Mus musculus: one gene and its partner. The protein of the gene in region 2 interacts with the protein of the main gene of each other region in a biochemical or structural test. Links are inferred from orthologs where the notes say so. Each region holds a gene or a part of one and is shown on either strand. Other genes may lie near its edges.

Evidence for each region.
Region 1: the proteins of Flna (region 2) and Asb2 form a complex in vitro, tested with the Homo sapiens proteins (3 studies listed by BioGRID, with this or other methods). The link is inferred for Mus musculus from reciprocal best matches to the Homo sapiens genes FLNA and ASB2.

What each region holds. Positions count from the first base shown.
Region 1 is NC_000078.6:103,328,425-103,332,074, forward strand, and holds part of Asb2 (ankyrin repeat and SOCS box protein 2), read right to left. Parts: intron 2,093-3,650; coding exon 1,921-2,092; intron 1-1,920. UniProt on the Homo sapiens protein: Substrate-recognition component of a SCF-like ECS (Elongin-Cullin-SOCS-box protein) E3 ubiquitin-protein ligase complex which mediates the ubiquitination and subsequent proteasomal degradation of target proteins.
Region 2 is NC_000086.7:74,229,420-74,233,069, forward strand, and holds part of Flna (filamin-A), read right to left. Parts: intron 3,572-3,650; coding exon of another isoform or gene 3,548-3,571; intron 1,335-3,547; coding exon 1,087-1,334; intron 978-1,086; coding exon 882-977; intron 740-881; coding exon 637-739; intron 548-636; coding exon 407-547; intron 91-406; coding exon 1-90. UniProt on the Homo sapiens protein: Promotes orthogonal branching of actin filaments and links actin filaments to membrane glycoproteins. Anchors various transmembrane proteins to the actin cytoskeleton and serves as a scaffold for a wide range of cytoplasmic signaling proteins.

The sequences.
Region 1 (3,650 bases), on a different chromosome or scaffold from region 2:
CCTGCCGTCTCTTTTGCCAAGCCTGGTTTTGAGGCTAACACCTCCCACTTTTGTTGGATCGGCACACAGTAGGCTGTTAGAAGGCAGTTAGAAGTCTGCGTCCTAAGCATTGACAGCAGGCCCTGTCCTGCTGCACCAAGCTAGAGGAGACCTTAGTCAACAGGTCATGGTGGCCTGACCCTTGGCCAATAGAGAGGTGCTAAGTTCCTGGAACTCATTCAAGCCCCATGTGGAAATCCTGGCACCCCGCCCCAGGCCAGCCCAGTGCCATTATCTAAGGTGGGGCCTGAATCCGGGCTGTACAGCCAAGGTCAGGAGCCCCTGCCTTCAAGGGTCCTTGGCCAAATTCTTTTCCTGCTCACAGGGTCTTTGGAAATCTACCTGCTCTGCTATAAGACACTGGAAATGGATGACAGTAAATGTGCCTAAGGAATGGGGATGCTAGGTTCCTCTATCAGCCATGCCCCAACACACCCCACCCAGTGTGCTGAAGAGCAGGCACATCTGGCAAATGGCCTCAGGCTCCAGGCGTTTTGCTCCGGGCCAGGGGTAGGCAGGGTGTTTTGGCAGGTGGCTGAATGCCTATGGAATGTCACATCAAATCCCTTCTCAGCCTGTGGGAGGCCAGCATGGGGAGGGCCTCTGATGCCACATGCCCAGGGTGTGAGCAGAGAACAGTGGCCCAGCCAGGTGGCAGGGGCTGCTGGGAATCCAACTTTAACCCTTCGCTGGGAAACCCTCAGGAAAGCAGTTGTATGCATGTACAGGAAGGTCTGGGGCTCTGGGGGACAGTGTAGGAACCTTTGGGGCCTTTGGTTCATTTTCAGTGGCTATTTCTCTTCCCCTATCCATCCCCTGCCTCACTGACAGTGCCAAACATAATCTGTTCTCTTTCTTCTGAGAGTCTGAGAAGTTAGAGCACCCCCCAGTGTGGCACCCAGGGCACACGGCATGGCTTTTCTAGTAACTGTGAATTACTGTCTCACTATACCACTGTGGTGAATGTTTCCTTTGAAAACGATTTTAAGGAAAAGGATATTTTAAAACTAGTGAAAGTTGTCTAAAATCAAAAGAAAGCTTGCCAGGGTCTGTGACTGGGAACTGCCCTACCAGTAGAGGATATCCTAGGCATGGGGATGGTCCCACTGAGGCACGAGGCTCTTAGCTACCTGGTCAGTTTCTTCTTCTATAAAAGGGGCTGTCCCACAGCTCGGCAGTGAGTCCACACTTTAGAAATGACCAGTGTCCATCTGCAAGGACAACCAGCATCCCCCTGACCACCCCACCCAATCACCCTTTCCCACCCACAGTGTATAGGTGCTAAATTCCTAGCAATTGGCTCTCAGATGAGTGGGGTGTTGGAGGTGCCAGAGAAAAGCTCACTCCATGGTGTACAAGCTCCCACCATGGTCAGTGTTGTGCTACATGTGAGTGAACATGTTCCTGGGGGGCGGGGCTGCAGTGGACACATGAGCCCAGACAGGCAGCCTCCAGTGCGCTCTGCTCCAGCCCTTGCCAGGTCCCTTCTACGGGGGCCAGCATGGAGCTTAGGTCTGGATGATCTTTCATCACATCATGAATGCGTGTGGACTGTTCATCTCTGTGTTTGTGGGGGGAGAGATTTCCCTCCCACAGACTGCTTCTGGAGAAGTTGAGCTTCTCCCACCCGAGCATGATGTTTAGGGAGGTACCCGGTGACTGGTCCCTGTCCGTTGCTGTGAGCATCCTCAGCAAACAGCTAGCTGACCTGCAGGTTATCTCTGCATCCTCCCACCCCACCGAAAAACAAACCAAACCAAACAAGCAAACAAAGAAAGAGTCCTCTCAGGGGCCATGGAGATCAAGTGCCCTGCCCCGCCCCTGCCCTCCTTAGGCATCCCCGGAGAGCTGTGCTATACACAGTAAGGGCTATGGACTGACCTATAGTTGCCCTTCTTGGAGGCAACATGCAGGGGGAGCAGGCCGTCCTTGTTGGCTTTGTTAGCATCGGCGCCCTGAGAGAGAAGAAACTCTACCACGTCTTCATGCTCATTCTTGCTGGCCTCGTAGAGGGCTGATGCACTGTCACTGGCCTGCGTGTTGATGTCTGCACCTGGAGAGGGAGAAGCAAGCAGAGCCATGAACGATCAGTGGTTCTGCCATAATTTAGTGCCACTGTGTGGTGAGCACCTCCAAGCTAACCACTGGGTGAGTAGGCTGGGCCATGCCTACTGCCTGAATCCAGGAGGACCCATCAGACGTCAGAGCTAAGGTAAGTTCCTTGTCACAAAACCTCGTCTACCCTGTTTCTCTGAATCCATATGGAGTCCTGAGAGGCCAAGTTTTTCATCACAGACCAGGACACAGGACATGAGAGGACTCAGGATAACCCACTCATAGATGTGAAGCTACACTTGAATGTATGGTCGGAAGATGTATTCTAGACTAGGCTTTCAGCCCTCACTACGGGCCCTAGGCTGTGTGCCCTGGCAGCAGCAGCAGCTCCAGCTAGGTACAAAGCTCCTTAAAGGAAATCCTACTGACTGTTAGTTGGATTTGGGGTTGATGGTTGTGGTTGGTTGTGGTTGGTTGGTTGGTTGGTTGGTTGGTTGGTCTGAGGCATCATCTTATGTAGCCCAGGCTCGCCTTGAATTCCATATGTAGCCAAGGATGGCCTTGAACTTTTGAACCTCCTGCCTCTAACTCTAGAGTGCTGGAGATTGGACCCAAAGCTTTGTATAGGATAAGCAAGCACTACCAACTGAGCCACAACCCCAGTCCTGGGCTTGTTTTGTTCTCCATCTGAAATAGGAAAGAACTGGCTTCTGCTATCTTCTTAAGGAACCATGGAGGGACTGGAGAAATGGCTAACTGGTGAGGACCATGTACACATCTTACAGAGGACACGGGCTTCAGTTCCCAGTACCCACAGTGGCTCACAACTACCTGTAACTCCAGCTCCAGGAGATCTGATATCTGTGGGTAGTTATACATCACACACACACACACACACACACACACAAACACCCATACACACACACACACACACACACACACTTTAAAAAAATCATGAAAATAAATTTAAAAAAGAAACTAAACACTGAGCCATGCTTGTAGGAAGGGGGCTGAAGCCTGGTAGCAGCTTCCTGCCATCATCTTATCTTTTACATCTTCTGCATCTCTTGGAGTGAGAGAGCAAACCGGTGTGCACATGATTTCTCTGTAGGCTCCACACTGTAGACGAAGATTAGCTGAGATAGCTCAGTAAAGGCTGAGATCAAAGGCTTGTGTCAGCCACAGCTCCTCTGTCAGAGCCATCTGCTCCTCTCACCCTTTCCGATGACTTCATTTTCAGCAGCGGAGGACTTGTCCTGGCCTTCTGAGAAGAGCACCAGGCCTTGAGGGCTCATCAGGACCATGAAAGTTTCTGTACCATGACTCCCAAGCTCTGGGGCCTTAGACAGCTTTTAGAAGCCTCAGTTTACCTGCTTGTTAGTCAAGAGTCATAGTCCTGCCCTCTCCTGTTTAGGGTGAGGTGTAAATAACATAACAGAAACATAGCACCAGCCTCAGAAGCCACTGCTGTCTAGACAGAGCTCAGGGCAGAGACTGTCCCTTCCCTCAGAGGAACAGTATAGGGACACCTTTAACAAGCCCCTGGGCCTCATGCT
Region 2 (3,650 bases):
GTTTGTTGACCACTCCATGGGTAAGGCCAGGACCATAAGCAGTGATGTGGCCACAGTTGACATAATCAACATAGAACTGCAGAGGGCTTCCTGAGACCAGAATAGAAGCCACATGGAATACCAGACTCATTCATTTGTTAGTCATTTTGGTTCTGTTTTTGAAACAGGGTCTTTATGTTTCTCTGGCTGGCTTTGAACTTACTATGAAGCTAAGGATGACCTTGAACCACTGATCCTCCTGCCTCGAGGGCTATGATTACAGGCATGTGCCATGATACCTAGTTTATTCAGAGCCTGATGCATGCTAGGCTCTACTAACTGACCTATAACCCAGCCCTAGCCTGTTCTTCCTGAGATGATAGCAACACGGGCCTAGGATGGAGTGGACAAGAGGCAATACACCCACCTGGGATATGCATATTGTCATAGCGAATGTCCATTTCATGCAGGCCAGCTTCACTGGGTGAGTAACGTACAGTAACAGTGCCATCTTTGTTATCAGTAATGGAAGGCTGGGCCACCTTGCCTGAGGGCATTCGAACTTCCCCTACAGAGCAGTGGTTTCAATGTCAGGCCAGGAGATTGGAACACCCTGGCCATCACTAGTTTCCAAGTTTCTTCCTAGCCCTCACTCACCAGTGATCTCCCCCTTCTTGATAGTGAAGGGGATGACAAGATCAAAGGGCCTCAGGCTGGTCACATCCAGCCCATTAACGCCCACCATGGGCCTCTCTGGAATCTGCAATAGAGACAGAAGAATCAGGTGAGGGGCTATGAGAAGATATGGGGTTTCTCAGGGCCACATGAGACATCCAGGTGGCCAGCTTCAAGTGTCCCTATGGGTTAGACAAATTGAATAATAGACCAGGCCCAGGCCTTACCCAGGTTTGCTGGCTACCCTGAGGATAGTTATACTGTGGAGCCAGCTGCTGAGACCTTAATGGGGTCTGCACTGTTGGTTGGTCCCCAGCCAAAGCCTGTGGGGCAAAGTGAGAGGGTTGGAGACTGTTGTCACAAAGGGACCTGGAAGGACAGGCTAGGACTTTCCCAGATCTCCCTGCCCACCCATCCTTGGCCTCTTCTCACTGTAACTTGGAAGGGGCTGTTGGGCACATGCTCGCCACCGAAGCGCACACAGATGACATATTTGCCCGGTTGGGGAGCTGTGTAGAAGATGTCAAAGGTGCCATCCTCATTCTCCACCACGTCCACGTCTACCTCTGAGCCATCAGGTGTGCACACAGTACAAGTCACTTTGCCTTTGCCTGCTGCTTTTGTGTCCACAGTAATCACCGTCTCCTCCCCAATCTGGATGGTGGGGCCAATGCCAGCACCTGGTAAAGCAGAGTGAATCCCCAGAGGGGAGCCAGCAGGTGAGCCGAACATTTTGGCTACCCCCATCAGCTTGCTACCCATCCAGGCCTCTTACTGCTACAACCAAGCACAGCCAGCCCCAATCTCTAGCCCAACCCATACCCCAAGCTACGATGGTGAGTGGTTTCTCAGAAGGCAGGAAGGATTCTCCTGACCACCTCAAGCCCCTTTATGAGAGAAGACCAACAAGTGGTACCCAGATACCTGGGAAGACAAGTAAGGGACCATCCAATCCCAGCACAAGCATTTACTGCTACCTCCTCTGCCAACTCAGCCTCAGCTGGTATCATGGCCTATGCTAACTTATACCGGCACTCTGGCCAGGCCCATGGCTACCTACACCCGTGGTCTGGCCCTGGGCCCCAGTGCTATGTGTGGATGAAGTGAGGCAGAGTCCTGCTGCAGTGTGGGGGATGTGAAACTTTCCTCCCTACCCAACCCCGAGGCCTGAAGGTGAAACTGGAGTCTCCTGACAACTGAGAACGCTTGCTCAACCAGAGGCTTGCAATGAGAGGCAGCATAGCACAGCCTGGCACAGGCAAGAGCAAGCAGCAGGGAAGTAGAAGGGTTAGCAGTGCATCACAGCAGGCTTGGCAAAGCAGTGGCAGCACCCAAGGAACAGGAGACAGGAGTCCCAAGCCACCACTGCAGGGTTGCAAGGGTAGAGCATCTGAGCAGCCTCTAGGGCCCCATAGTGCCCAAGAAAAGAGAAAGGACAGTAATGTTATGATCTGGGGCTCAGCTGTGGAGGCTTGGGAGCTGTGGATTGTAAGGCCTGGCAGCCAGAGCACCCCTGCAGCCCAGCCTCCCACAAGGAAAGCAGCTAGGAACACCAAACTTATATGAGGACCAAGTTTAAGGGGCCCCCTTGCCAGCCTGCCACCAAGCCCCCTTTTCGACCTTGGTCTCACACTGGCTACATGAGACTCAGATAGCAACTTCAGCTATTACCCTAGTTGCCTGCTGCCCATGCTGCCATGAACTTCCTTTATGCCTGCCCTGTATCATCTAGCTAATGATTTGGGCCTTCTGAAAGCTTCTTGATTTCTCATTTCTGTACCCAAGCTCCAGGTGATCAGCAAGTCTTGACCATAGCATCCTCAAAGTACACCTGCTAATTGGGCTACTGCTTAATGTCCCAATAGCCACTGACCGGGCCCAAGACAACCTTCTGGCTTACCCAAAGATGATTTAAGTTCCCTGGCTGGGCGCCCTGACTCCATTCCACACATAATGGCCAAGAAAATTGAGGCCACTCCAAGTTCCTGGCCTAATTCTGTCCTCCCCTGTGTACACATATATGCCATCTTCAACCCCATAAACTATTCTACAAAATAATCTAGCCTTTGCCACAAAAACCTAGCTATCTTAAATCCTGTCCTTGGCCATCTACCCAAATGCCTGTCTGATAGCCTTCAGAAGTCTGCAAGTAGTTGTAGTCTCATATCAGTATTCCTAGGATGTCTTTGTCTTAGGGCAGACAAACCTGCCTGATAGGGACTGTCTAACATCATTGCTGGGGGAATGGGAAGAAAGAAGGAAAAAAGATTGGTCGCAGAATGCACTTTGGAGCTCTGAGGCTGGGCCAGGCCCTGCCATGCTGGCCACCCAAGCAGTTGACACTGGCACTACTGTACCACCACCCAGCCCCACCCACTCATGCACCTCCCCCAGCCCAGGACACAGAGGCCCCTGGGAGGCGGGGATGGAAGTCTGTGGATCTGACAAGGGCTAGACTCCCAGTGGGTGGAGGAAACCACCTTGTCCCCTGAGCCCATGCAGGAGCCCATACAGGAGCCCTTGTGAGAAGGAAGCACCTGCTGCCCATCCCCAGGTGCTTCCCTGGGGTGCCAAGATCCCCAGACCCCAAAATCCCCATTGAGGTGCCTCCTAGGATATACTTCACCCCAAAGCTCTCAGCTGCAACCCAAGTTCTCAGATGGGGAAATGGAGGCCCAGAGAGGGGAGAACCAGAGCGCTCATGCTTAGCTCCAGAAACCTCCCTGGGCCCTGACCCTCCAGCCCACGGCCTTGTCTTCACAGCCTCCCCAACTCTGTCCTTGCCTAGAGCTGCAGCTGGAACTGTCCTGGGAATGAATTAGCAATGAAGAGGAAAGGAAACTGCCTCTCTGGGCAGTAGGGGCATTGGGAGTGGCCCCAGCAAGCAGCTTACCTAGCCCGTGACCTCCGATTGACACTGAGGTGAGAGGGCAGAGAGCAAGGAGAAAGGTCAGGTGAGTCACTCAAGGGGGCGGCCCCCACTCCCACACGCCGCC